Callithrix jacchus: one gene and its partners. The protein of the gene in region 6 interacts with the protein of the main gene of each other region in a pairwise test. Links are inferred from orthologs where the notes say so. Each region holds a gene or a part of one and is shown on either strand. Other genes may lie near its edges.

The links.
Region 1: the proteins of UBE2K (region 6) and RNF114 interact in binary tests that used the Homo sapiens proteins (3 or more experiments, as listed by UniProt). The link is inferred for Callithrix jacchus from reciprocal best matches to the Homo sapiens genes UBE2K and RNF114.
Region 2: the proteins of UBE2K (region 6) and DTX3L interact in binary tests that used the Homo sapiens proteins (3 or more experiments, as listed by UniProt). The link is inferred for Callithrix jacchus from reciprocal best matches to the Homo sapiens genes UBE2K and DTX3L.
Region 3: the proteins of UBE2K (region 6) and MKRN3 interact in binary tests that used the Homo sapiens proteins (3 or more experiments, as listed by UniProt). The link is inferred for Callithrix jacchus from reciprocal best matches to the Homo sapiens genes UBE2K and MKRN3.
Region 4: the proteins of UBE2K (region 6) and RNF125 interact in a two-hybrid assay, tested with the Homo sapiens proteins (2 studies listed by BioGRID and IntAct). The link is inferred for Callithrix jacchus from reciprocal best matches to the Homo sapiens genes UBE2K and RNF125.
Region 5: the proteins of UBE2K (region 6) and RNF111 interact in binary tests that used the Homo sapiens proteins (3 or more experiments, as listed by UniProt). The link is inferred for Callithrix jacchus from reciprocal best matches to the Homo sapiens genes UBE2K and RNF111.
Region 7: the proteins of UBE2K (region 6) and MIPOL1 interact in binary tests that used the Homo sapiens proteins (3 or more experiments, as listed by UniProt). The two-hybrid records come from large-scale screens. The link is inferred for Callithrix jacchus from reciprocal best matches to the Homo sapiens genes UBE2K and MIPOL1.

Annotation. Positions count from the first base shown.
Region 1 is NC_133506.1:45,490,156-45,494,104, reverse strand, and holds part of RNF114 (E3 ubiquitin-protein ligase RNF114), read right to left. Parts: intron 2,805-3,949; exon of another isoform or gene 2,701-2,804; intron 2,151-2,700; coding exon 2,000-2,150; intron 1-1,999. UniProt on the Homo sapiens protein: E3 ubiquitin-protein ligase that promotes the ubiquitination of various substrates. In turn, participates in the regulation of many biological processes including cell cycle, apoptosis, osteoclastogenesis as well as innate or adaptive immunity.
Region 2 is NC_133516.1:80,460,090-80,464,038, reverse strand, and holds part of DTX3L (E3 ubiquitin-protein ligase DTX3L), read left to right. Parts: intron 1-1,434; coding exon 1,435-2,970; intron 2,971-3,398; coding exon 3,399-3,616; intron 3,617-3,949.
Region 3 is NC_133507.1:5,631,834-5,636,514, forward strand, and holds MKRN3 (E3 ubiquitin-protein ligase makorin-3), read right to left. Parts: upstream 3,151-4,681; 5' UTR 3,041-3,150; coding exon 1,517-3,040; 3' UTR 776-1,516; downstream 1-775. UniProt on the Homo sapiens protein: E3 ubiquitin ligase catalyzing the covalent attachment of ubiquitin moieties onto substrate proteins.
Region 4 is NC_133514.1:75,101,160-75,105,548, reverse strand, and holds the start of RNF125 (E3 ubiquitin-protein ligase RNF125), read right to left. Parts: upstream 3,157-4,389; 5' UTR 3,121-3,156; coding exon 2,957-3,120; intron 1-2,956. UniProt on the Homo sapiens protein: E3 ubiquitin-protein ligase that mediates ubiquitination and subsequent proteasomal degradation of target proteins, such as RIGI, MAVS/IPS1, IFIH1/MDA5, JAK1 and p53/TP53.
Region 5 is NC_133509.1:5,024,962-5,028,910, reverse strand, and holds part of RNF111 (E3 ubiquitin-protein ligase Arkadia), read right to left. Parts: intron 2,648-3,949; 5' UTR 2,629-2,647; coding exon 1,749-2,628; intron 1-1,748. UniProt on the Homo sapiens protein: E3 ubiquitin-protein ligase. Required for mesoderm patterning during embryonic development. Acts as an enhancer of the transcriptional responses of the SMAD2/SMAD3 effectors, which are activated downstream of BMP.
Region 6 is NC_133504.1:154,118,611-154,123,115, forward strand, and holds the start of UBE2K (ubiquitin-conjugating enzyme E2 K), read right to left. Parts: upstream 2,874-4,505; 5' UTR 2,685-2,873; coding exon 2,622-2,684; intron 1-2,621. UniProt on the Homo sapiens protein: Accepts ubiquitin from the E1 complex and catalyzes its covalent attachment to other proteins. In vitro, in the presence or in the absence of BRCA1-BARD1 E3 ubiquitin-protein ligase complex, catalyzes the synthesis of 'Lys-48'-linked polyubiquitin chains.
Region 7 is NC_133509.1:71,918,260-71,922,208, reverse strand, and holds part of MIPOL1 (mirror-image polydactyly gene 1 protein), read right to left. Parts: intron 2,857-3,949; exon of another isoform or gene 2,784-2,856; intron 1,170-2,783; coding exon 938-1,169; intron 1-937.

The DNA of each region.
Region 1 (3,949 bases), on a different chromosome or scaffold from region 6:
AAGTGCTGGGATTACAGGCACGAGTCACTGTGCCGTGTGAAGCCCCCAATTAAGAGACAGGAAATAGCCCTACTATGCATCCCTAATACTAAATAACTGTGAAAGGTCAGTTTCATTAACACTATGGTCATTCACACTTAAGTGTTAAAAATAATGAAACTGACATGCAAGGCTGTCTAATATGTAAGAGAAAAAAACCTGAAAGTAGAAAAAAGTTGGGAATGATTGTATATTTAAAGAAGTGAAAAAAAAAGTTGAAGAAATATAGTGTGATCTTATTTTGCAAAAATCCTACAATTGTGTTGGTAAAAATTCCCTATCTGTGTTTGTCAAAGGATAGAAAATGTTACATAGCCTTTGAGATAGAACCACTTTTTTTTTTTTTGAGATAGGGTTTGGTCCAGGCTGGGGTGCAGTAGCACAATCTCAACTCACTGCAACCTCTGCCTCCTGGGCTCAAGCCATCCTCCCACCTCAGCCTCCCAAATAGCTGGGACTACAGGTGCACACCACCATGCCCTGCATTTTTTGTATTTTCAGTAGAGCCAAGGTTTCAGCATGTTGCTCAGACTGGTCTAGAACTCCTGGACCTAAGCAATTCACCTGCCATGGCCTCCCAAAGTGTTGGGATTACAGGCATGAACCACCCTGCCAGGCCTTAAATTGAACTATTTTTGAAGTAATCTCTGGAATGAGGAACAAGCCTGTATTACTGTATATTTTTGTATGGTCCAGAATTTAAAAAATTTTAATGATTCTAAAATCAATAAAGCCATGTATATCTCTTGGAAAACAGGACAACAGTATTTCTCCTTTCCAGTAGCAGTTATAACAGGTATGAAAATAAATATACTTGACTCTGATTATACAAGAGCATGGATGCATTTCAAATGTTAGCTATTGTTATTATAATCCAATGATTTCATATTGACTTTTTAAAAGAGACAGAGTCTTGCTGTCAACCAGGCTGGAATGTAGTGGCATGATTATAGATTACTGTAATCCCAAACTCCTGGGCTCAAATGATCCTCCTGCCTTTGCCTCCTGAGTAGCTGGACCTACAGGTACATACCACCACACCTGGCTAATCTGATTTTTTTTGCAGAGATGAGGTCTCAACTAGGTTGCCCAGGCTGGTCTCCTAACTCCTAGCCTCAAGCTATCCTCTTGCCTCGGACCCCTAAAGAGCTGGGGTTACAGGCATGAGCCACTGTACCTGGTCCTCATATTGACCTTTATATCATGATTCCTGTTAAGTGCTAAAAAGCTGAACCATTAAATTTTTATATCTAATGATATAGATTACAACACTTCCCCTCAAATGCATTAAAAGAGTTAAGTTTGAGTCACTGACTTCATTTTTTAAAGAATCATGAAATATCATTATCATTTTATTCTAATTAAAATGATATATAATGCTTTGGAAAAAAAATTCTTTTTTTTTTTTTTTTTTTTGAGTCTCACCCTGATGCCCAGGCTAGAGTACAGTGGCATGATCTTGGCTCACTGTAACCCCGCCTCCTGGGTTCAAGTGATTCTCCTGCCTCAGCCTCAGACTCCTGAGTAGCTGGGATTACAGGCATGAGCCACCATGCCCAGCTAATTTTTGTATTTTTAGTAGAGATGGGGTTTCACCATGTTGGCCAGGCTGGTCTCGAACTCCTGACCTCAGATGACCCACCCGCATTGGCCTCCCAAAGTGCTGGGATTACAGGCGTGAGCCACTGTGCCTGGCAAAAATTGATCTTTTATAGGAAAAAACTGGGATAACTGATTTCTACGGCTTTCAAAGCTAAAACATACACTTAACCAACTCTTTAAAAAGGAAACAAACCAGTAGGGTTATGAAAACAAACCAGCACAGCCATCAGCACAAGTAACTGGCATGCATGCGTGCTGTTAGTGACCTAGTCATGCTCTAACTTCAGAAACAGCACTGTATATTTCACCCCATCTTATCATGGAAAGACATGGACTCTTCCACATTACTTCCACATACATTCTTACGGCAGCCATGGCAAGAAGTCTCTGTGCTCTCGATCTGCCGCTCGAGCTCCACGGCTCGGACGCCAGGTGCCAGAGCGCTGCGACACACCCCACAGACAGGCTTCTTCGGCTTCAGACATTCCTGCAGGCATGCAGAGCAAAAGCTAGAACAAGACATACAGAGAACCTCCGTCACGCATCATGGAGACAAGACAACAAATATGGATCAACTTTTAAAAAGACGTCAATGGATAATGGAGTAAAAACAACTTGCTCTCTTCTCCCAATTCAAATACAAAGTCCTTCCAGGCCAGAAAAATTGAGGAATAAAAGTGGACTACAAAGAACACACAACTGCAAGAATAAACGCAAACTCCTGTGATACACGGTGAAAGGTGTTAAGGTTGAGGCCTCAAGCCTTAGGTCCTGCCACTGAGGGATCTCAGTGGGGTTTAGAATCTCTGTTTTTTCCTTTGTGAAATGAAGAGAGTAGTACCTACCTCTAGGATTGCTGGGAGGACGCAGTTTGTATAGCAGACCCCTGGCAGAGTGTCCAGCATGTACCAATGCACCATAAATGGGAGCTGCTATCATTAGAGGTGAAGGCAAAGCGCTTTGGAAACATAAGGGGAAAAGCAACTAGCTATGACCTGAGAAGGAAAGGGCTAAGACTGCAGACAGTGTCTTTGATCAGCCTTAAAAGAGTTCAGCTGGATCCTCTGTAGTTCGTGAACGTGATGACTGGGTGTTCGTGCACATGTGTGAGATGTCCCACCCTTGAACCTTGTTACAGACGTTGGTCCATTACCCATCTGACACTTGAAAAAAAAAGAGGTCAGCCAGCAGAGGAAAGAAAGACTATTCTAGGCCTAATTTAGGCTTAAAATTCATTATGTACCTGAGGAAATAATAATCTAACAGACTTTTCCACAGAGCAGAAGTTTAAAGCAAGATATTAACAAGACAAGACCAAATCCAAGTTTCAGAAAAACATCTCTGTGCTATCATGGAAAACAAGTTTTCTTGTTGTTGTTAGTTTTGTTGTTTGTGTTTTTTTTTTTTTTTTGAGACAGTCTCACTCTGTTGCCCAGGCTAGAGTGCAATGGCACAATCTTGGCTCACTGTAACCTCCACCTTCTGGATTCAACCGATTCTCCTGCCTCAGTCTCCCAAGTAGCTGGGATTATAGGCGCCTGCCACCGCATCCGGCTAATTTTGTATTTTTAGTAGAGACGGGGTTTCACATGTTAGCCAGGCTGGTCTCCAACTCCTGACCACTGGTGATCCACCCACCTCAGCCTCCCAAAATGCTGGGATTACAGACATAGGCTACCACGACCCGCCATGTTGTTAGTTTTTTTAGGTGAGGAGATGAGAAGAGACAAAGCAAAAACCAAACAGATGGCTAAAGGCAGAGGATTGTGAGGGCCTGACTAAAGCAGTAGAGGATGAATTCAGGAAATGGCTCAGACGGAATCGGGACTTGATAACTTACTGACTTTAAAGAAAAGAAGGAAAGTCAAAGATGACTGAGTTTCTATCCTGAAGCCTAGGCAGATGTCGACGCTGAGATACTGCATACAGAAAGAATGGAGAAGACACCCTGGGCTACTTACCTAACCTGATAGATTAAGACAGTATAACCCAATCTGCCAGAAAGAACTAAGGATGTATAATAAAAGGCAATTTTCTGAACACTTGACCACTTTCTACTGCCTCTAAGAATCTCCTTCCTCTCTGTCATTAAGTTAGATGTCAATGCTGTTAGGAATTCCAGATCAGGTTCAGAGGTGAGAGAATCTACTCATTTGCCACTGAGGGCAGAGTGGAAACTTGACAAAGCCCTGTTCTCATGAAACTTACATTCTAGAGTGAAGGGAAACACAAATGTTAATTTCAGATAGTGATAAAATATATGAAGGAAATATGGCAAAGAGACCAGCTGGGGTGATCACAGAAAGCT
Region 2 (3,949 bases), on a different chromosome or scaffold from region 6:
AGGTGCAAAGGCCCCAAGAGCCAACATTCTGAGGCCCAGAAACTTGAAGGAAGCCAGTGGCAGGGAGGGCGAGGAGCAAGGGAGAGAGGTCCTAGGATTCGGCAAGTTACCTGGAAGACATACAGGCCTTTGGGGCTGAGGGTAAGGACTTTGGCTTTTTAACTTAAAATGTTAGGGGATTCATCAGATAGTTTTGAGCCAGGAGAGAGGGCGATCTGGTTTATATTTCTAAAGGGTCACTCTGGCTGCTGTTGGAAATCTGAAAGTAGGAACGAGCTAGAATGGAAAGTTAGAGCCCAGTCAGGAGGGGTTGCAGTGCGCCAGGTGAAAGATGACAATGGTGTGGACTCTGGGTGGTCCTAATGGAGGTGTGAGAAATGGCTGGATTAAGGAAAAATTTTGAAGATCTGGAGGAAGGATCTTACATGCCAAGTCCTTAAGGGGGAACAAAACATTAGAAATTTTATTTTTTATATTACGCTCAATTTGTCTCTGTCCTTTTTATCTTAATCTGGCATGTCTTATATTTGAGCATCTAAAGGCCAGGGTTTAGAAGGGCCCAGCAACTTTGCATGCAGGTGGGTGTTTAGTTGAAAAAAGAAAAAAGGAAGAGTTAAGAAGAGAAAAAACAGTAATAAGAAAGCCCTTTCCTCACTTTTATGGCTCCCTTCCAAGCTCAAAGACTTTTTTCAGGGCCACAACAACTTACCCAGCAAGCACAGATGCCTTCCCTCGACTGCTGTTCCCAAGATCAAACAGATAGTGGAAGTTGTAGAACACAGATATCTTGGCCATGGAGCTTTTAGAAATGCTCATGCCCAGGCCCCGCTGCAGACAGTTAACATCAGAATCTCTAGGGATGCACTTGGGCTTTGGCTGTTTTGTTTTTCCCTGAACTCGCCAGGTGATTATTATATCCAGACAGGGCTTAGAACCTCTGGGATGTAGCATGCTGCATCCTCTAAAAAGGATTGAGGCCAGATGCAGTGGCTCACGCCTGTAATCCCAGCACTTTGGGAGGCCGAGGTGAGTGGATCAACTGAGGTTGGGAGTTTGAGAACAGCCTGACCAACATGGAGAAAATTCGTCTCTACTAAAAGTACAAAAAGTAGACAGGTATGGTGGCGCATGCCTGTAATCCCAGATACATAGGAAGCCGAGGCAGGAGAATTGCTTAAAGCCAGGAGGTGAAAGTTGCAGTGAGCTGAGATCATGCCATTGCACTCTAGCCTGGCAACACGAGCGAAACTCAAAAAATAAACTAAATAAATAAATAAATTAATTAATTAATTAAATGGATTTGAAAGAAGTTGCCCCCTGCTTAGGGAAGATGTAGTGGTTGTTTCTCTAGTCTCTAGGCATTCTTCTGAAGAAAAGACTGTAGGCCTGCATGCTGAGAGGTTTTATTTGTTCTTGTTCCTTTTAAAATTTCAGATCTTTCTTACTGTAACAGCTGACCTGAACTGTAACCTGTTCTCCAAAGAGCAGAGGGCATACATAACCACACTGTGCCCTAATGTCAAAAAAATGGAAGGTCCTAATGGAATTGAGAAGGTATATGGTGACTTTCAAGACATTGAAAAAATACATCAATTTTTGAGTGAGCAGTTCCTGGAAAGTGAGTGGAAACAGGAATTTTCCCCTACAGTGACAGAGAGGAAGCCACTCAGTCAGCAGGACAGGGACAGCTGCAGTTCTCCTTCCGAACCCAAAACCAAGGCAGAAGAAAAAAGCAACTGTTTTGAAGTTCCCTTGCCTTACTTTGAATACTTCAAATTTATCTGTCCCGATAAAATCAACTCAATAAAGATAAAATTTGGTGTAAACATTAAAATCCAGGAGAGTTCTCCAAATATGGTCTGTTTAGATTTCACCACAGATCAATCAGATGACCTAGAAGCAGCCCGTGAGTCTTTTGCTAGTGAATTTCAGAAGAATACAGAACCTCTGAAGCAAGAATGTGTCTCTTTAGCAGACAGTAAGCAGGCAAATCAAATCAAACAGAAATTGAATCACCTGTTTACAAAGCTCCTTATAAAGGAGAAAGGAAGAGAATTAACTCTCCTTGGGACCCAAGATGACATTTCAGCTGCCAAACAAAAGATCTCTGAAGTTCTTGTCAAGGCACCTGTGAAACTATTGACTGCCAGTTGGATGACGAATGGAATTGAAGTCGATAGTGCTCGCTATAAGCTTTTAGAAGCTGAATTACTACAGGAGATAACAGAGATCGAAAAAAGGTATGACACTTGCATCAAGGTTTTTGAGAAAGGTCAAAAAACCTGCATTCTGTTTGAACCCAAGGACAAGCAGGTAGATCTATCTGTGCATGCTTATGCAAGTTTCATCGATGCCTTTCAGCATGCCTCATGTCAGCTGATGAGAGAAGTTCTTTTACTGAAGTCTTTGGGCAAGGAGAGAAAGCACTTACATCAGACCGAGTTTGCTGATGACTTTAGAAAAAGACATCCAAATGTACACTTTGTGCTAAATAAGGAGTCAATGACTTTGATTGGTTTGCCAAATCACCTTGCAGAGGTGAAGCAGTATGTTCTAAGAGGAGGAGGAACGGCTTCATTGTCTGGAGAGAAACTGAATGAGGATCGTGTAACACCGATGGACATTGATAGTGATGATTCCAAAGCAGCTTCTCTGCCACTCAAGGGCTCTGTGAGTTCTGAGGCCTTTGAAGTGGACAAGAAGGAAAATGGCTTCTGTGTCATCTGTATGGACACCATTAGTAACAAAAAAGTGCTACCAAAGTGCAAGCATGAATTCTGCACTCCTTGTATCGACAAAGCCATGGAATATAAGCCAATCTGTCCCACATGTCAGACTTCCTATGGTGTTCAGAAAGGAAATCAGCCAGATGGAAGCATGGTTGTCCGTGTCTCAAGAGAGTCACTTCCAGGTTATGATTCCTGCGGCACCATTGAGATTAATTATAACATGAAAGGAGGCAAACAAACAGTAAGTATTTCTGAGCTCCATGGTTTCTTGCCACTATGTTACGATTACTAGAGCAAAAGAGACTGTCCTATTGCCTATCAGACAGTAGATTTCCCAAGGAATTATCTCCACGGTCATACACAAGGGACTGAAATAGTTAAAGGTCACAGAGTTTGCTGATGACTCAAATAGCTTTTTGTCTGTTTCTGAAGACAAGAAAGGGTGGGTGGAGATTATATCTTGAGTTGGCGCGGGGGTGAGGAAGGTGGACAGTGTTCCCAGCATGAATTCAAGGAAAGAGGAGAAATATGAGTTATTGGGAATATGAGCAAAACTTCAATACTTTTCTTGCTTTTGATTTGCTTTATCTACAAATGAACACATCTACACATACAGAAAAAGTTAGACAGCGTGCTATTTTCACATGACATTTTCTTGTTCTCACACAGAAGGAGCACCCAAACCCAGGAAAGATCTACCCTGGAGTACATCGAACTGCATACTTGCCTGATAATAAGGAAGGGAGGAAGGTTTTGGAACTGCTTCGTAGGGCCTTTGAGCAAAAGCTGATTTTTACAGTGGGGAACTCTCGAGCATTAGGAATCTCAGATGTCATCACTTGGAATGATATTCACCACAAAACATCCAAGTTTGGAGGACCAGAAAGGTGAGAGCCTTCTGGGATGTAACAGCTGCTCAACAGAGTATAGGGATTATGAAATATGACAATTTCTGGATGTGGATATAAGGAGAATCTATAGCAGTGATATTGGGTATAGTAAAGTATTTTGAGAGATGCTAATTGGGGATGATAATTTCAAAGACAGAAAGATTGGTCCCCATTGATTTTCACCCTGCCAACTATAAAGTATTATGGAGTTATTTAAATTTTGCACCAAAGGGCAGGGGGGTTTAAAATCCAAGTTGAATAGTATATATGCTGATTTAATTTGAGGCTTCATGTCCATTTGAAGACTAGCTCCTAGGAATGTTACTTAGC
Region 3 (4,681 bases), on a different chromosome or scaffold from region 6:
GGTTTCCCAAAAGGTGTATTAAAATTGTCCCCTAAAAGTCTGGATTTAGGATCTTCTATTTTTATCCACATCTGATATAATGTTATTAAATGTATACAAAATTTGAGTTCCTGTGAATTATAATTTAATGTTTATGTATCATTCCTTTTTATCTCCAGCAAAGTGCTTATCCTTACTATACACTTTGGTTTTTCCCCATCCCACTACTTGGCATGTTTCTGTGTTTTTGCATTGTGTATATTTTAAACAAGATGTTTCACTTTGTTCGTAATGAAGTCTCACAGCCTTTGACTTTCAGTCTTTAAACTGCTTTCATTTAATCTAATTAAGTTGTACTGATACGTAGTGCTTTCTATATTATTTTACCCCATTCTTTAATTCTCACTGGTTTTAGTATTTTTGTTCTATTTTCCCTTTTATAATCTTGTTTCTTTTATGTTGAAATCTTTTGTCAAAAGCCCCTTGTTGGGAAAGTCTAGAGACTTTGTATATGGAATACAAAGCACTGTGCCTCTGAGCCTAGGATTTGCTGTTACAAAGAATAAATGAGAAGGTGGCTAAACTGCATAGGAACACCATTTAAATATTTATGGAGTGAGCTATGAATGCCATTGTAAGAATTACCAACATCATGCTTTGTAAGTCCTCTAAGATGTGCATCTGTTACATCTGGCCAGACCCACTTGAACAGTCCTTTTCATTACATGTTAATTACTGGCTTCTGTGCCTGGGACAGAAAGATTATTCAGACAACTCACATTCACACAACAGCCAATCCTGTTAGGCTTTGACCTTCAGCTTTTGGGTCTGTATTTACTTTATTACATAAACATAAATATTATATTGTGATGTATATTCTTTTATATATTTTTCAAATACATAACTTATACATATATATGCATATATATTATATATATATCATTCTTAAATATAAATTTCCAAATATAAATTATTTCGCGTCAAGCTAAACAGGATAAAAACATGTAAACATATACACTTGGTTTTGGTCAAGTAAAACACAAAGTCACAAGTTCATCATAGTTTAACAAGTGCACTTGAAAGGGAAGAAGGGAAAGAACAGACTGTAAACAAACAGATGAGCAGCTGCAAGGCCCTGCAAGGGTCCATTTGTTAAGGCTATTATAGCAGAAAGCTACTAGTTCAATTAAAACTTCTCCTTTCACTCTGCCATATTTACTCTTGAGAGTCTTCAAAATACGTGTGGAAATTCAGTAAACACTAAACTAGAACTGAGTTAATCCTGTTGAAAACAGAGATGACGAAAAAGCCATAAGCTGACATTAATATTAATTTCACCAAAATAGTAACTTTATGGACTTACTTTTTAACACAGATAATCACCATAGTCCTAGGAGAAAAGATACTCAGAATAGACAAGAAAACAGAAACACTGCCTCAACAGCCCCTGAAAGCAATAGGAGTGTCAACATAGGGAAAACAGGCATTAGAAGATGACAGAACCTCAGGAGACTAGACCACATGCCACAGCACGATGCTACAGATTCAAATTGAAATATTCTTCCAGCTCATAATGAAGCAAGTCCCACTGCTCCTCAGAGAAGGGGAACTCATCTCTCAGTGAAAGAAACTGCTTAAACAACAGACTGGCCAGCCGAAGCACGACAAGCTCCTTCTTACTGCTTTTATAGAGCGCGTTGCCCTCTCCCATTCGCACAGGCTCCACAAGTTGATGCCAGTATGCACTGAATGACCCACCACCCGGCCCAGGAGGCTCATCTCCCCAGCCCTCAGGGTATTCATGCTTGTAAAAGCATGTGTCTCCAAATGGGCAGTTACCCCTGCCTTCCGCAAAATACCTGCAGGCCTTGTTGCTCATTGCCTCTTTGTATTGCTGAATAAGTTTCTGCTTCTCTTCCTCCTCCTCCACCCAGAACTCACTGGGAATGACCAAGTCGGAGGTGACCCTGCACTGTGGACAAGACTTGATGATCCTGTTATCAAACTGTCTGGCACTTCTCCACCTGCGGATACACCTAATACAGAAGGTATGGTTGCAATTGGAAAGAATGCCAAATCGGCGGTCATTGGGGTTGGCTTTCTCATAGACAACCTCCATGCAGATGCCACACACCTTGTCCATACCACGCTGCACAGCAAACGAGAGTTCCATATCTTTCTCGTGTGCTTCAATGCAGGCCCTTATATGGTCTTCCCTTTGGGCAGCATCCATGGGGTGCAAGGCCTGCAGCCCACACATGTCGCATATGTCTCCATGGAGGTACATACAGCTCTCCCCACGAAAGCAAACTCCCCTGGAAGCATAATAGCAAAACCGCTCACCCCTGCCCACAGCCATCTGCTTCCTCTCAGTCTCTGAGCTCTGTAGAGGAGCCTCAGGAGCAGATGCAACCCGGCGGCCCCGGTAGGGCTGCCCTGGAACAAACTCAATGGCATCCGCCCAGCTTTCTACACCTGCTTCTCCAGCAGCTCCACGGTCTGCATTGTCTCTCTCGGCTTCAAAGAAACCCCTTTCAGCAGCCGAGCCAATCACAGGCAAGGACTGCGAGGATGCAGCCGGGGGGGCTTCCGCCACTTCCTGAGTCGGGGGCTCGATGTGCGCAGCCGTGCTAGGGCCTCCACTTGCAGAGGCCCCAGACGGCGAAACGCGGCCCTCGGTGGCCATCTTCCGACAAGAAAGGTCGTGGGAATAGCGACAGTTCTCCCCCTCCTTGCACTGCCCATGTATATAATACCTGCAGGCGATCTGCTTTGTCCAAATGCCACTGCTTCGGCTTGGCAAGGGGCTGGGCCAGGCTCCTCCTCCGGAGGCTGGGGCAGGCCTCAGGCCTCCCGTGCGGAGGTGGGCAGGGACTGGAGCTACAGGGAAGGGGGCCCAGCCCACGGCCACATGTGGCAGTGCTGAATCTGGAGCAGCAGATTCCCCGGAGGGCTCACACGCGGGAAGGTCGGGCCCAGACACACCCTCCCCTGCTGCCTCAGCACCTGCCTGGGCCCCGGCTGCCTCGTGGGCTTCTGAGGGAGCTGCAGGCTCTTCCATGGCAGCTTCTTCACCCCGAAATGGTGCCAGAACGTCTCCGGTATTTTTTCTTTAAGGGCTTGAGGCCCGGAGCCGCGGCCACGATCGAGACTTCTCTGGGGGAAGTGTGCACCTCTTTTCCTTCCCCCCTGCTCTTGGCTCCCTGTGACTCTGTGTTCCTACCTACTTCCGGGCACAGGCAGCATGGCGGACACTTCCTGTCGGGGCAACCTACGTGCGCTGCCTGATTTTTGCGGCAATTTTCCAATCTGACATCTCATCTGACATCTTTTTTGTTCACGCAGGCAGGGACCGACCCGGCCCCTTTTGTCTGCCTTCCGCCTCTTGTTTCGCTGTGTTTCGGCAGCCCCTAATTCCCTCCTCACACCATTTCCTCAAGAGAATGAGGTTTTCATGTAATCTCTTCTAGTTTCAGTCATGCACGCTTTCATTGTATTTCCGCGTCTGTCTGCCTTAAATTATAGCTCTGTAGATTCTGAAACATTTCATACGTGAGTTATATAAATTCCTTTTGGATTCATTCCGTCTCACGTCTGTGGGTTTTTTCTTTTAATGCCCTGCCTGTCACTGCGGGAAACTTTTTTCGATTTGTTCTATTGACAAGGCGTCGTTTCGTTTGGTCTTTGTTTTCTGGGATTTCTGAGGGCTTACGTTGGATCCGCTTTTCACCAGCAAGTCATTAGCAGAGAGCACGTCTGATCCGAGGCGAAGTGAGCACCTTTCAGATGTCTGTCTTTATTGTGATTACTATGGTCATTTTCCCACTGTGAAGAAGCCTGGGACTTCAACCAGTCCTGATGCTGGCTTAATAAGGCACTGTCCCCTGCATGACCCAGGCTTTTGTTTTCTCTGCTGGTATATTCATGGCAGCCCTTTGTTTCCCTTCCTTTCTTTCAGCCCCATCTGTGCTGTGTTGTGGCAGGACAGCCTTTTATAACATATCCTGTGCCATATTATCCACAAGAGAATGGTTTTTAATTTCCATGTATGAGCGTTTTGTCATTTTTGCAGATACATGTTAGTACATTAATCATTTTTGTATCCCTGCTTTGCTGAGAGTACTTATTATGACTGCATACTGAATTCAGTCATGAGTTTTATAGATTTTTTTGAGATAATCTTGCTTTTCCCTTTATTCTCTTAATGTGATTATTTGCAGCTACGAATTTCAAATATTTAACCAATTCGTTTCAATAATAAGCCCTCTGTTTCGTGATATATCATATATTATTGGATTTTTTTTCTGAGGAAATTTTGCTGCTTACATTTATAAAAATATTCAGATAATTTTATAAAACATAAAATTATCATCTGAATATTTATAATCACCTAAATCAACAAATTAAATTATAATTAAGTAGCTAAAAGCAAAGAAGGCAGAATGAAGCAACTAATAAAGGCAAGAAAAGCAATGAAGAAAAACAAATATGAAATAAGGGAAGTAAATTAAGTAAAATCCTTTAAATGCTTATTGAAGCCAGATAATTTCCAGTGAAACTTATCAAGGAAAAATGAAAAAGGCTCAAATACCCAAGATCAGAAATCTCAAATATGTTATCACTACATTAATAACAGACATTAAAATCATTAGAGAATATCAAGGACAAAGTGAGGACATTAAACTTGAAAATTAACATGACG
Region 4 (4,389 bases), on a different chromosome or scaffold from region 6:
TTACAGTGATCACACAGCTGGCTAGTGGCAGAGCTGAATTTCAAATCCAGCTCTCTGTAAGGGCCAGTTTCCACTGCACCACAATGCAACTTATAAAGTGCTCTGTGCATATTTATTCAAGGTACTGTTGTTATTATTAAACTTGTTTGACTTGAAGTAGGTTTACAAACAAAAATCAGCATAAACAACCTAGTTCATTACATTTGAAAATGTAGCTTCAATATGAGATCATAAAATAGAGAAGGTTCATTTGCATTTCTTTGTTTTCCAACTTAATTTCAGCGGAAAAGAGTAATTCGTTTAGAATGTACAAATGGTATTAACAACACTCACAATCTCTACTGCAGTAAGGACTCTGGTTAACAGCTATAAAGTGGAAGGGACCCAAGTAAGTTTGCCAAAAGGAGGAATATGGAAATTCTGCCCACAGCCAGAACAATGAACATAGATTTGCCAAAACAAAGAACAGTGAAGCAAGGAAAGGCAGTTTGCTCAGCCCTTATTATACTATTTTACGACTTTTTTTTTTCAGTTGCTAGTTTTCTATTCACTTGAACAAAGAAAAAGATTAAACAAAAAATTCAACATTTTGCAAATTTATATTATCCTTTAGTAGAAGGAAAAACACTGTTAACGGTAAATTATAATGTTCAAAGTCCAAACCGGGAAAACAGTCTCCAGTCAGATTGAACAGCAAAGCCTTCTATTCCAAAAAGAATCTTCAAAACGCCCACTGTTTCTGTTTTGTACTACGTTGAAGTTTTAATGCTAATAATTATTAAATTTAAATGGAGGTATCTTTAGGTTGTTACTGCACTAAACTAATCAATGTACTTTGACTCACATAGCACATTTTGGCTTCCAGATTGGTCTGTGGATATCATGTTACTACATCTGGACAGCTGAGCAACAACATCAATAACCAGAAAGGAGGGTAAATTTAAGCCTCGAATTTTACGAACAAGGCTGAAACAACAGGCCTTGAGAATACAGCCATGAAATAATGCCCAAAGCACTCTTTATACATTGCACAGGTTGCACACTTTTCTCCCTGGCTCACAGACGGGCAGTGGTGAACACTGCTTTTCAGATACAAAGATATAGGTAATAAGGACCACCTAAGTACTTTCAAAACTTTTTTTGTTTATTTTTTGAAGCAAAGTCTTGCCAGGGTGGAGTGCAATGGTGCCATCTCAGCTCACTGCAACTTCTTCCTCCCAGGTTCAAGCAATTCTCCTGCCTCAGCCTCCTGAATAGCTGGGATTACAGGTGTAGGTCACCATGCCTGGCTAATTTTTATATTTTTAGTAAAGACGAGGTTTCACCATGTTGGCCAGGCTGGTCTTGAATTCCTGACCTCAGGTGATCCATCCACCTCAGCCTCCCAAAGTGCTAGGATTACAGGTGTGAGCCACCACTACAGGCCTCAAAACTTTTGAATGCAAATGCACATGTTTTTAAGGACTACCCAAATCCTTTCAAAAGTGGTTCTCGAAAACATATTGTGCACTTGCATCCATAATATGCTATTTCTTTCTTCCTGCTAAGCCAAAAGCTGTACAAGCCAATGTGGTATCGCACAGGGCTTCATCATACTATAGTCAGTCTTCAAAGGACATTAAGTAGGCTTCCGCTCCTGATCTGTGCACCCGCACGCGCGCACACACACACAGACACACACACACACACACACGTGTATCCGTGAACAAAATTCAAGACAAACAGTGAAGGCTGGGAGCAGTGGCTCATTCCTTTAACCCCAGCACTTTGGGAGGCTGAGGCGGGTGGATCAATTGAGGTCAGGAGACCAGCCTGGCCGGCATGGTGAAACCACATCTCTACTCCAAATACAAAAACTATCTGGTTGTGGTGACACACGCCTGTAATACCAGCTACTAGGGAGCCTGAGGCAGGAGAATCACTTGAGCCGGGGAGGCAAAGGTTGCAGTGAGCCGAGATCGCGCCACTGCACTCCAGCCTGGGCAACAGAGCCACACTATGTCTCAGGAAAAAAAAAAGAAAAAAAGCAAACAGAGAACACAACATTAAGGATGTGCCAAATTTATATCCGGACTTTGTTTTTAAACGCTTCTTAGAAACGACAGGGCTTTGCACCAACTGCGAGTTTTAGCTAAATACTGCTCGGTTTCGAGAAAGTTATTTTACTCTGTAATTTCTGCGGGTTTGGAGAGACGGGGAGTAAAGCAGGTAGTCTGCCACCTCCTGTCACGCTGTGGCTGGGTAGTGAAGGATTGCATTCAGGGGCTTGCGGCTAACGTCCAAGCCCCACCCTAGCAGGTTGTTAAACTCTAACGACTGTGGAAAGTCACTCGGAAGCTCCAGTTTGACTTGCTCTTTGAGAGGCTGGGTGTCTGTTTTGGGAAAGGGTAGCAGGGGTGGGGGTGGAAGGACACTTGGCACAAATCCTTGTTTGCTTAAGACGAGTCTCTGTGGGCATTCTGGGAACACGTGCACAGCTGCAGCAAAACAAAACGGACCCAGGTTTCTGGGGCAGAGGGAAGCGCAGCCCGTTCCACCGAGTTCAGCGGGATAACTGCGCTTAGCGGGAGCCCTTGCCTTGTAGCGGGCGCTGGTTTTCTTTCTGTGCCCGGGCGGTCGCTGGTTCTCCAGCCAGGAGCACCCTCCCTCGTTGGCCAGCCCTGGCGCTGGGTGGGACCCGTGCCTGGATCCCTGGAGCTCCGCACCTGGGCTTCGGGAGGAGACAGCGCAAGGGGGCTAAAGGGCCCGCTCGTTTCTGTCTTCTCCTCCCGAAGTCCCGTGTCACCTACCGACTGGCGTTTTCCTTGTGGCCCCGCACCCGACGGGTCCAGGTTTCTCCCTGCAGCAGTTCCTAAGGCGCTGTCTTCCGTCCCCCTTCTTCCCCCTACCAAGCCCTCAGCTTCCCCACATCGACCTCCGCAGGGATGGGCGCGAACCCGGCTCCCCTGGCACTTACACGTGGCCACAGCGGGTCCGGACAGGCCGGTGTAACACCTCAAGGCATACGGAGCAGTCGAAGGACGTGACGGGCAACTCCGGGTCCCCCCTGTGCTCCAGGGCCCGCGGGGTGGCAGAGGCGGGCGCCGACTTGCCGCTGTCGCTGCTCAGCACAGAGCCCATCGCTGTGCCTCTCGCTCGCCCGGACAGCTGCCAAGCGCTCAGTGCCTGCTGCAAGGTTGTTTTGTTGCCGTGCGCTGGAGGAAGGAAGTCCCAGCCCAGCTGCGATCGCCGCCTCCCAGCGCACCCAGTTCGCGCAGCCCAGAAGCAGCCTCAGCCGCTGCGCCCAACCCTGGTCTAGGGCAGGGCGAGTGCGCGGCGGCGGGGCTGAAATCTGCAGGCTGCCGGGGTTGAGGCGCGGAGGCGGAGGCGGAGGCGGAGGCGGCGGCCGCCGGGTGCTCGCTGCACTGTCTTGTGGTATTGGGAGGATTGAAACCTGAAACCTCAACTGCAGAAAAGAGGATTGAGGCAGTAGTAAACCTTCCAAGCTGTCACCCACACAACCTCTTTCCCCACAGTCAGAAGTTAAGGGCGGGCGTGGCCATGCTTAATGCTGATCAGAGAACAGCCGCTTGAAAGGTGATGGATAGGACCATCCTCCACGGTTGAAATCACAATAAGCTGCAAAGATGGCCTATGATCTATGACTGGGCGTCTCCTAAGACTGTGCTATCAATACTTTGTCATCCAGTCAATAGTCCATCAATGGAGAGATAGCACGGGCAGTGGAAAGAGTTCTGGAGATTTGGATTCCAATCCTGCCTCTCGTACAGAGTCTAGTGCTAAACGCTGCCATCTCCAGTTTCCTCTGCGGCTCAGGATTTCCTCTGTTGTTTGTACTCTCCCCACCCCGCCCTTTAAACTTGATCAGCTGCGCTCAGTGACCCCGGCCTGTAATCCCAGCACTTTGGAAGTCCGAGGCGGTTGGATCGCTTGTGGTCAGAGTTCGAGATCAACCTGGCCAACGTGGTAGAACTCCGTCTCTACTAATAATATAAAAAGTCGCCGGGCATTAATTCACACGTTTTACGAAGACTTATTTAGTGCCCACTGCATGCCAGACCCTGTTCTGATGATAAAGACACAATTGTCAACAAGCAAATAAAACCCCAGTTCTCACAGAACTTACTTTAAAAAACAAAAACAAAACTTTATTTTGAGATAATTGTAGATTTGCGTAGAGTTGCAAAAATAGCACATAGTATATAATACACATATACAATAATACATAACACATGGGATATAATAACATATAATACATACATGTACTTAACAGCCCATAAATTTCACCCAGTTTACCCCAGACTTTACTTTTTATTATTATTATTATTATAATACTTTAAATTCTGGGATACATGTGCAGAATGTGCAGTCTTGTTACATAGGCATACA
Region 5 (3,949 bases), on a different chromosome or scaffold from region 6:
GTGAGTATGAGCAAGAGCACACATGCACAAGAGCACTGATAGGAAACAGTCCATATTAAAATATATACTGTCAGGACCAAAAGTCTCTGGGTCTTAGTATTAGAATAAAAGTTGGCCGGGCGCGGTGGCTCACGCCTGTAATCCCAGCACTTTGGGAGGCCGAGGCGGGTGGATCACGAGGTCAGGAGATTGAGACCATCCTGGTCAACATGGTGAAACCCCATCTCTACTAAAAATACAAAAAATTAGCTGGGCACAGTGGCGCATGCCTGTAATCCCAGCTACTCAGGAGGCTGAGGCAGGAGAATTGCCTGAATCCAGGAGGCGGAGGTTGCAGTGAGCCGAGATCACGCCACTGCACTCCAGCCTGGGTAACAAAAGCAAAACTCAGTCTCAAAAAAAAAAAGAATAAAAGTTAACACTCAGATACTTAATATTATTTTTCAGCTATAAAAAAACATGATAACAGCAAACAACAAAAATAGAGTACTTAAAGAAAAAATATTGAGAGGCCGAGGCAGGTGGATCACCTGAGCTCAGGAGTTCAAGACCAGCCAGGGCAACTTGACAAAATCCATCTCTACCAAAAAATACAAAAATAAGCCAGATGTGGTGGTGTATGCCTATAGTCTCAGCTACTAAAAAGGCTGAGGTGAGAGGATGATTTGAGCCCAGGAGGCAAAGTTGGCAGTGAGCGAAGATTGCATCACCATACTCCAGCCTGAGCAACAGACCCACTTGCTGTCTCAAAAAAAGAAAAACTATTATTTGTCTTTTTTCAGTGACTAGTATTGTTCTTACTACGGTTGAATTCATCATACAGATAGCTGAATAAGTATTCATAGAGGCTGAGGCGGGTGGATCACGAGGTCAAGAGATCGAGACCATCCTGGTCAGCATGGTGAAACCCCGTCTCTACTAAAAATACAAAATATTAGCTGGGCGTGGTGGTGCGTGCCTGTAATCCCAGCTACTCGGGAGGCTGAGGCAGGAGAATTGCCTGAACCCAGGAGGCGGAGCTTGCAGTGAGCCGAGATCGCGCCATTGCACTTCAGCCTGGGTAACAAGAGTGAAACTCAGTCTCCAAAAAAAAAAAAGTCAAACATACTAAAGAAACACAAGGAAAAAAACTGTGTGCCATAAATTAAAAACACATATAATACATAGTATAATCCAGTATGTATAAAATGTAATAAATGAGGCCAGGTGTGGTGGCTCACGCCTGTAACCCCAGCACTTTGGGAGGCCAAGCAGGGGGACAGAGCATTTGAGGCCAAAAGTTCGAGACCACCCTGACCAACATGGTGAAACCCTGTCTCTACTAAAAATATAAAAATTAACCAGGCATGGTGGCAGGTGCCTGTAATCCCAACTACTCGGGAGGCTGAGGCAGGAGAATCTCTTGAACCCAGGAGGTGGAGGTTCCAGTGAGCCGAGACTGCACCACTGCATTCCAGCCTGAGGGACAGAGTAAGACTCTATTTCAAAAAAGAAAAAAAAAAGTAATAAATGGTTATTCCCCCAAAAAACTCTGACTTATTTTTGTCCTCGAAATTTTTTTAATTTTTATTTTTGAAGTAGAGTCAGGGTTCTATACTACAATTGGTAATTTATACAGCTTAAAAATAAAAGTTAATAGATGCTCATAGTCCTTTTATATAAAACAAAATCAGTAAGACATAACCAAAAAAATAAGTGCAAATACAATGTAATCAGTTCCATGTGTTACTCGGCTTAAACATTTTTACCTGAGGGAACAGCTGGATTGTTTTGGTGGTTTTCACTGGCAGAAACAAACAAATCTTCTTCTCCTTCAGTTGACGAGCTAGAAGAGGATTCACTGCTGAGGTCATTCTCACTGGAGCTACTAGAACTAGGTAGCAAGGCATACTTTCTTCGAGCTAACACTTCCCGTTTCTTCCTCTGCATTAATATCCTCTCTTTTTGTTTCTGTGTCCTCTGTGAGGAATTAGTTTTTACAAATCTCTTTCTGCATGGAAGTCTCCTTAATGAACTGCTATGTAAACAGGGTCTTTTCATTAACAATCCCGATACAGATTCTGCCTCGGTCCGAGGCCACTTCTGAGACCGTGCACTATGGCTTCTGCTTTTAGCACTCAAAATGGTCTGGGAATGTCTCACGGAGACTTCCTTATCCTCATCTGAAGTCACAGTATCAGAATCTCCAAAATGCAGACTAGATGAAGGAGAAGAAAGACAATCACTAAAAGAGGAATCATTATCGTCATCACTTGGTGTTCCCAGGTGTTGCCTCAGTCCTAATATTCCCTGGTTTTCTTTGACACAATTCTGCACACAGGAAGGGCCAGCCTGCTGGCTTTTGCGTTTTTTCCTCACAACGACACTTTTTTCTTGTTCTTGCTGGTTACCATTCATGTCCTTCTCTTGTTTTTGAGAATCATCACACAGGTGAGAGAATTCATTCCCCACTTTACTATTAATCATCTCAACTCCTGCAGGAAAACTTTTGGCTGCCCCAATGGGCTCTGGATGCAAAAGGATCCCTTTCAGACTCTCCTGTGTCTTTGGTGCATCAGAAGGAATCTCACTCTTCATATCCACTTTTAAGGTGTAGAGCTCGTTATATTCAGGAGTCCATTGAGACATGGGAAACTTTAAGGAACGCCTAGAAGACAAAATTAGATATTTAAAAGATTTTTAATGTGTTTTTTATACTATTTAATTGAAGAGTTCTCAAAGTCCACTGAGCAGATCCCTTATAAAGGCAGAAGTGTCTTTTCCTCATCAGTACATTAAATGTCTGTTATGAATTATTTCACTGTTCTTATAAAACATTTTTCTCTGATCACTCTCCTCATGCACCCAATTTTTAGAAATACAGTAAATATAAAGCATAAGCCTACTTAAAGACTTCTAATAACCAAAAACTCATCTTAGTGTATATCTTACTACCTTCAGCAACATATTTGGTTAAATCAAACAATTGCTTCAAAACCTGTTTCAGTAAAATATAGATAAAAGAATGAGAATTCAAAAGACTAATCAGACAACATGTTTTACTCCTGGTATGACATTTTAAAGTGGTTACTATGAAATATTTCTGTACATCTAGATGTTTACATTGGATTGAAACATTAATAATGTGCTAAAGAATATAAGCTTCGCTTTCCTATTTTTTCCTTCATACTATTCTGTTAATTCTCTAATGAGAATCTGAATTCTCCTGGTAGTAGGCACAATTACAGCATTTCAGTTTTAGATACAGAAAAGATTAGAGCCAAGATCATTCAGTTAAATAAAGAGTACAGCAGAATATAAAAATCAAACTTCCTACAGCTAATACACTATCTAAATCCTTCAACCTCTTAAATTACGAGTTGCTAAAAGGAGACTTGAATTTAAAGCATTTACATCAATGCAATGTACATGTGAAAATAATGTAAAACTAGCAAATGCCATGACTCAAAATGAAACATACTCATCCGAAAGGCAGTTAATGTGACAAACAAAGAGCTTTACTACTGCCATGTTACTGTAGTATATAACTTTATTATCAGAACAAGTGACAATAATTAAGACATGGAATGGCTTATTCCTACAGAAAGCTATCAAAACCACTGTCTTATTTTATTCTTATTTACAAGGTTAGGCAGGGCTGTATCCAAGATCAGCCATCAAGCTCTAACTTAGGTCAGGAGGACCACTGATAAACCAGGAACACAATGAGTGAACGTGAGCATGGTAATCAGCAAATTACAGAAGACGGCCAGTCAGACAAGGATCACCTTAATTAAAAACAAGAAAACAGGAGTCACAGTGATAAAACACAGGTACAGATCTAACAGTTGAGAGGGGCCAAATAGGATGGCTATAATAAAGAACACAGGTAATAACGAGTGTTGGAGAGGATGCAAAAAAAAAAAAAATTGGAACCCTCATACATTGCTGATGGAAATATAAAATGGCA
Region 6 (4,505 bases):
ATATGACACATAATTCAAAAAATATCTACTCCCCATGCCCCAGAGACCCAATTCCCCTACACAGAAAGCAGTCAATTTTTCCAATTTCTCATGAAACCTTTTACCTGCACAGGCAAATACACATATTCCCCTCCATTTGAAACAAATGGTGGCCTCTCCCACACTATTCTGTATCTTGCTTTTCACATTTATCTTGTTGGCTGTATTTTAATTAACACACTCTAAGAATGGCCACCACAATCCAACAAGCGTCAGCTATCTCTACAAAGACACTTAAAAGGCCACCCCAAAAAGTCCTTAAATCAACCAGTGTTCTTACTAAACACAAGCACACAAGCATATGAAATAAACTTTGGTAAAGTGCAGATTTACCAAAAAAGTGACATGATGAAATAGTTATTTGATCAGCCATTCAAAAGACTGGATTTACACCCTTAAAAAGGAAACACATGGACTGTACTACAAGTCCTTCAATGAGTTGAAAATAACAATCTACTTATAGATCTGGGACACTAAAATGTCAAAAAATAATGGTGAAAATAAGCTATTTATTGGTTATATTTATTCCAAGATTAAGTGATGTGAACTTTTCCTAAATGTTCTTTGCAACTTATTTTCCTAGAAGAAGTTTCTTTCCATATTTCTATAGGTACTGTTCTCAAAAAAAAAAAAAGTTTGTCGTCCCTATTTTCTTCTTCTGAAACGCTTATGATACTTATTTGAAGTAAACCATCATCCCTTATGTATAATGAGCAGTGTTATTTTAACAATATGCATTACTAGAGAGCAATACAAGTATTTCTGGTAATCTTCAAGTTAAGTACTAAGAATACCACGGTGAAGTCAGCTCATAAAAAGCAGAGACCATATAAATTACTAGAGTAGTAACTTACCACTTTTCAGTAATAGAAAATAAAGCATTAAAAGTCTATTAAGTTTCAAGCTTCTACAACCTTATTAAACAAGAAATGTTTTAGGTTGTTGGCAACAATATTAGCTGCTATCTTCCATTAGAAGTATATATGTCAAATATCCTGGAATACATTTTCATATTAAGTTAAAATTGCTGTTTCACTGTTATCAATACAAACACTTATGACTCTGTTTCTGCACTGTACCACAAAATACAAAGTCATCCTTCCATTCAGAGTTTTGGCATATGAACAGAGGTCAGAGTTCATACACATGCTCTGTAAAACTGATCATGACTTACATACTACTACTTTCAAGAAGCCTATTTGTCATTTTTGAATTTTAAACAATTTTTTCTTCATGTCTACTCATCACATACTTAGAATGCTGAATTTCACTAATCACTATCGACATTATCGAAGTACTAACCGTAAAAGAAAAAACACAAAAGCAACGATATATTCAATAATGGTACGTGAATCTTGAAAATAACCATTTTCTGTATTACTTTTTGTTTAATCCTTGTGGGGAAGGCAATCTGGTATTCTTGTTGATTTTTGGTATGAAAAACTGTACTAATACTTATGTAATTCTGAGTCAAATTACTAGAGCATTGTGAATATCTTACTTAAACGTACTAATATATCTAAATTCTGCAGGATTTAAGAGCAACGGGAGGCAATTTTTTTGAAAATCTGCTATATCGTGATAAATCTACTCAATAAAGAGATAAAACAGTGTATTAATCTGGTAAAAGCACACGTTTTTAATAGGTCTACTTTTCAAAAGTAAGAATCAAGTTAACTATGAGGGACATCATAATGAAGTTTCGTGGCACAACACTAGTCACAGAGGTACTGTATTAGGACAGTCTCTCTGATCTGTAACTTGTAAACAATATTTTGAAATAAGCTACTCTTACATTCCATTTTTTTTCTAACTAAAAATATTTAAATGTCTTTAATACACCAAACACCTTGCCTTTGCCCACTCAAAGACTGAGATGTCGATAAAGACGAGGCCTAGGAATTTGGGGGTAAAGTGGAAAAGACATAACGATCTCATTTGGAATTAACTTGCTAACAGAGGTGAAAATTCCCTTATCCCTGCCACCGAATAAGACAGTATTCTATTATTCTCCCCTTGACTCCTAACACCCAACTAAGAAGGACTAACTCTGAATGTCCTTCCTTTTTAATCGATACCTAAGGACTCACCGCTCCTTCCCTAAGAAAAGGACGGTGACGGCCTGACAGGCAATAACCCAGAATATCCTCAAAAGTGTGGGCCTTAGAGCAGCACCGGCTCCTCCGGATACAGTTACCACCTTTCCCCTTCCCCCAACCCACTTCCCGGGTTTTCTCGGGCTCGGCCTGCTCCCTCCCCACCCCAGAGCCACACTTCCAGCTGTGGCCACCGCCTCGGGTTCTCTCGTGAGCTTCCATCCCGCCGAGGAGTTCCCCCCTGTCCATCAGTTCCCCAAACTGTGTTCCACCCCAGACCCCCCGCCCGCCGAGACCGTCCATCCTAGCGCTGTGGGAGGGGAGGGGAAGGCGGCGGAAGGAGGAGGGGAGCACTACTGCTTCCCCACAGGCAGAAGGGCGGCCGCAAGGAGGGCCACCCAGGGACTACCGGGGATATCGGGGTCACGCTGGGAGGACCCTCCCGCCCGGGCAGAGGTGGGGGATGTCCGGGAGTTCATTTCTGACCTCCTCGCTCTTCAGCACCTCCTTGAACTCCCGCTTGATTCGCTGCACCGCGATGTTGGCCATGTCTCCGCCCGCAGCTGATTCGTACCCGCCTCCTCCGCCACCGCTACGACCACCGCCACCGCCGCCACCTCTTCCTCCACCGCCTCCTCCCTCAGCGATTCAGACCCGAGCACACGAACACTGCCACTACCACCCCGGCCACCGCGCTCTCCTCAGTGTGGAATCACCTCCGCGCCCGGCCACCAAAATGGCGCCGGGTCCGCGCATGCGCATGATGCTGACCCGGCCGGGCGGCGCAGCCGCTCCCGTTGTAGCCCCCATTCGCCCGAGCCACGAGCGCGCGTCTCGACTGGGGCTGCGGCCGCTTGACTCCGCCCTGCCGGCGTCTGGAGCCGGGAGGGTGCGCCTTCCAAACTGGCCGGGACCGCCGGTCCTCCCCGGCGCCTCCACTTCTGTTTAAACCCGGGTGCTGTGGTCCGGGCTGCCAACCCCTGGACTCTGACCGAAGGTTCGGGTGCAACCGAACGGTTCCCGAGGCCGCAATCGGCTGGAGCGCCTTCCTGACTCAGCTAGACCCGGAACCCGGTGGCTGAACGCCGGGTGCGGGAAAACGTCTAGTGCAGGAAAACGCTCTCCCGGAACTCGATCCGGCCCATTTTCAGTTGGTGTAGCCCCAGAAAATCCGCTGCAGTCGTTTTTGTTCTGCAACATTTATAGTACCAAGATTATTCCCACCATCTCAGGTAGCACAGATTATTGAATTAAGGCTGGTTATTGTTGAATCAGATCCGGTTTGAGACAGGTATTACGTGGAGAGGCCTGATGATGGATCTAGAAGCCAGATGTTGATCTTTGACCTATTTAGATAATACAGAGCTTGATACACACACACACACACACACACACTCGCGCGCGCGAGCACATACTCCCACTCCTATACACACTCACTCCTGTGCCCATCCCTAGAGTGTAGGATGGCCCCAAGACACACTCTCTCTCTCACTCATTCTTGTGCCCATGTCTGAACTAAAGCATGTGAAAATTCATATAAAAGTGAAAATTGGAGAAATAGAAACAATTATAGTGCTTTTCAGGGCACTGGGGGTGGGGGAGGGGAGCTTTACTTCTGTAAACCTAGGCCTACAAAGGTGCCTGGTGCTAGTAGGCACTCAATAAATATTGAATGAATAAATGAGTACACGTAAGAGTAAAATGTTTTGGCTGCCACGGCGGATCGCTTGAGGTCAGGAGTTCGAGACCAAGACTGGCCAACATGGTAAAACCCCGTCTCTACTAAAAATACAAAAATCAGCCAGACATGGTGGCGGGCGCCTGCAATCCCAGCTACTCTGGAGGCTGAGGCAGGAGAATCGCTTGAACCCCGGGGACAGAGGTTGCAGTGAGCGATATCGGGCCACTGCACTCCAGCCTGGGCGACAGATCTGTCTCAAACAAAACAGAACAAAAAGTGCAAAATACTTTAAGTGGAAAGTCAGTTTGAAAGTGGTTTCTGGTCGGGCACGGTGGCTCAGTGCTGTAATCCCAGCACTTTGGGCGGCCGATGGTGGCAGATCGCTTGAGCCCAGGAGTTGGACACCAGCCTGGGCCCCATGGTGAAGTTCCATCTCTAAAGATAATAATAATTTTTTTTTTTTAGAGTGGTTTCTAAGGCTCATAGTAATAATGATATGGTACTGAGAAACACTTTGAATAGAACATTTTAGAATGAGTAATAAAGATGTTATTTTAGAAGTTTATACTTCATGTACTGCCTTCACCTAGCCAACCAATAAAATATCTTATTTTAAAAATATCACAAACACATGGTCTTAGCAAAAGTAATTATAATTGTGGCACCAAATACGGAAATAGCCAATGGAG
Region 7 (3,949 bases), on a different chromosome or scaffold from region 6:
AACTTCTTTTTAAATCTAATAATATTTTTATAGTACATGACTAATTATCAAAGTTCCTTAATCTCATACTTAAAAGTATAAGGTATCACAAATTCAAATCCTTTCATGAGCTAGGTAGGCAAGATGAATGGGTAAAAGCTGAGAATGTAAAATAATAAGGAAGGCAAATGGTAGAGCACAAGGCCCTTTTAACAGCATTCAAATTCATTTAAACGAAAAACAGTGCTAACCCAAACCAAAATGCATGTTTGGGCTTACCTTATCCTAGAGCTGCCAGCTTTTTACTTTCATGAATGATATTTCATGTATATCAATTTAACAGTTATTTTCAAATATATAATAAAACATCACAGAAAATAATATTGAACAAGATAGAATTAAATCTCACTGCCTTTCGTTAGATGCACGTTGTGCTTTTTCACTTAGTTAACTAGACATATTATATCCATATCACAGAAACAGTAGAAAACCCTGGTAGATCCCCCAAATTCTAATGAGTTTAGAATTAGTCAACTCCAAAAAGAATGAAAGAAGGAAAGAAGAAAAAAGGGAAGAAAGGAGAAAGGAAGAAAAAGTTCTTCTACTTTCCACTCTCTCTCTCTCTTTTTTTTTTTCTTGAGACAATCTTGCTCTGTCACCCAGGCTGGAGTGCAGTGGCATAATCTCAGCTAACTGCAACCTCCGCCTCCTAGGTTCAAGTGATTCTCATGACTCAGCCTCCTGAGTAGCTGGGATTCCAGGCATGTGCCACCACACCTGGCTGATACTTGTATTTTCAGTAGAGACAGGGTTTCACCATGTTGGCCAGGCTGGTCTCAAACTCCTGACCTCAAGTGACCCGCCCGCCTTGGCCTCCCAAACTGCTGTCATTACAGGCAAGAGCCACCACGCCCAGCCCCCATTCCTACTTTCTAAATCTAAGGCTGTGAGCACTTACTTGGATTTTTCAGTAGTACAGTAAACAGACTCATCATCTGGGTAAGAACTGATGATCTGAAAATTCCTTGATCTCTGCTCTGACCATTTTGTGTTCTCATAACTTATTTCATTAACTAATTCAGTGGATTTCTGATGCATATTTTCCTCAGAACTCACAGTCAGTTGCTCATCTGGCTGTGTACTTTTATTTATCCTTTTAGTTTCTTGTTCAAGATAACTGTGGGTTATATCTGTATTTAAACAAACAAACAAAATAACACATGATATATCAAACACTGTAACTATTTATTGATATTAAATCAATCAAATAAATATTTTTGGAAATACTCTCATAGCTTTAAAGATATAATTTCTAGTCTTATTTCTACTGTAATCACATAAGCATATACAGTGTGGTTTTTACCATTGAGACTTCCATTTCCACAGTCAATAGATAACTCTGCATTTTGGAATAACCTAAGGAGATTTCTTTTAAATCCTCAGAGCTTAAAAAATCTCTGGGAGTGAGACCTAGTTTAAATTTCTGAAGATCCCCAAATGATTCCAGCATACGCTCAAGGCTGAGAATCACTGATTTGGGGATATTATTTTCTAGGTGAACTTTTCTAGATTTCTGAAAATAGTATAAAATAATTATTATAGTGAAGAGTTAATATATGTGGAACTCTGGTATTAGACTGCCTGGGTTAGAATTCCAGCTTTGCCAAGTGAATCACTTTGGGCAAGTTACTCTCAGTTTCTTTTCTGTAAAATGGGTATATAATATTTGTTGTTAAGGACTGAGTTAACATACTCAAAATACTTGGCCTAGTGCCTGACACATCAATACATGTTAGTTATTATTTTTGTAATCATCGTCATAATATTAAAATAGACACAATACAAGGGAGAATGATTTCTAACCTTCATCTCTAGGATGTATTATACATCAGAGAAGATACTTTGCAATGCCTATCTCACAAAAATTATCTTAAGCTACTGCTAGTAAATAATGGCTATTTCAAAGGGACAATGTACATGTAATGACAAAGTAAAGTTTTGGGGAGAAAATGACACACAAATACGAACACAAAGCAAACTCATTCACTAGTAAATCAATTCAACAGGCCCCAGTACTGATTGTAACTAGTACTTCCTTATTTAGGGCAGAAATATTTCTTGAACTTTAAAAGGCAGATGAATCTCACCTGATTTTTGGTGGTGCCTTTTTAAATCTGCTAAACTTACAATCGTTGGAGGCACATACGAGTAGTTTTATTTTATTTTACCCTATTTTTTTTTAAGATGGGGTCTTGCTCTGTTGGCCAGGCTGGAATGTGGTGGTATGATTATGGCTCACTGTAGCCTCAACCTCCTGAGCTCAAGCAATCTTCTTGCCTTTGTCTTCCGAATGCCTGGAACTAGAGGAGTATGCCACCTTGCCTGGCTGATTTTTATGTTCTGTAAAGATGGGGTCTTGCTATTTTGCTCAGGCTGAGAGTTGTTTTAGAATTTAAACAAAAGGGGGCACTTATAAATAAAATACCTCTCATAAAAATATTCACTTTTTAAGAAAAAATTATTTGCTTGTATATTTGCTGAAATTAGGTATAGCCAGTTATGAACTCTAGATCTTGGACATTATTCTTATTGCTAGCTAGAAGCTAGATGAGTACATCTGTTTTTGGTAAATTACTCTCTATTTCACTCTGAAGAAATGAATTAGAAGAGAGAATGTCCTATCATAATTATACAGTATAAGAGAGCTGTGAACCTTCAACATTATATTAACTTAAATTTGACAGTTTTAGGAACAGATACATCTGAAGATCACTTGTTCATATTTGACATCTTGAAATTCTTACTTTGTTTGCATTAGATAGTCACCATGCAACTTGTCTGTAATAGGCTGCATTAGCATAATGGAACTCTCAAAATCTGAATGAGAAAAGTTTATAAATGGGCATTAAGGAAAGCCTCTATATCATTAATAGACTATGCTTTCTAACACATATAACACATAACATATAACATTGTAAATAACTCAAATGAAAAACAATCAGAAATAATCACTGAAAGCATTATCAAATAACAAAATTGCCCCTAGGGACATATTTCTTAAAAACTATTAGGCCCCCCACTCTTCTTCAGTTTATGAAGTACCATGTTTCTTCAAAAGGGAAAAGAATGGTCCATGGATCACTGTCAACTATAAAAGCCCCCAGGTCCCCATGACAGCCGCACAACTGCTTCAGACTCTTGTCCAGTGCTTTTCAACCTGTTCAAGACCAAATTTACCATTATCTAAAATTAATTCAGTATATTTTTTACTTTCAGTTTTTTATTCCTAACCTCCTGGTGTTGATCTTATCTCTGCTATTTAAATTCGCTATTTGTTTACTAGTTTTATAGTTCTCTTCCTTCAGCTATAACCTAATGTCAAATTTGTGATCTCCTGAACTCTTGATAAATCACCACTATTTTACTTGTGACCATACTATCTTCTTCAAACTTAGAGCAAATATGGAAGCTTCCCAATAAGAGCTTCCCAATAAGAGGACTCTGTTGATCCTTCCTGGGTCTTAGTAAATATAAGTCCTTGAAGTTTTATTACAATGCATCAATTTCTGACACACTCTAGACTTTCATTCTAAAATTTAATTTTAAATGTTTAATATTTTTTAAGAATCCATACTGTGTGACTTGACTCTATTTCTGGATATTTCTCATTTCGTTCAGTAGTAAAAACTTTTAGATTTCTAATTGAAAAGGCTCATCAGAAATTTGGAGCTTGCTCTGCAAATCAGACTATCCATACCCTTCTACTGAAAATTTATTTTAAAAAGATTAAAAAAAATATTTTTTAGAGTCAGGATCTTGCAATGTTGCCCAGGCTGGCATCAAATTTCTGGGCTTAAGCAATCCTCCCACCTCAGACTCCCAGTCTGAGAATTTAATTTTACTTTAGAATAAACATAGCTGATTTATAAAAATTTTCCTGTCTTTTTCTTTTCTGACCAACTATTTTGGC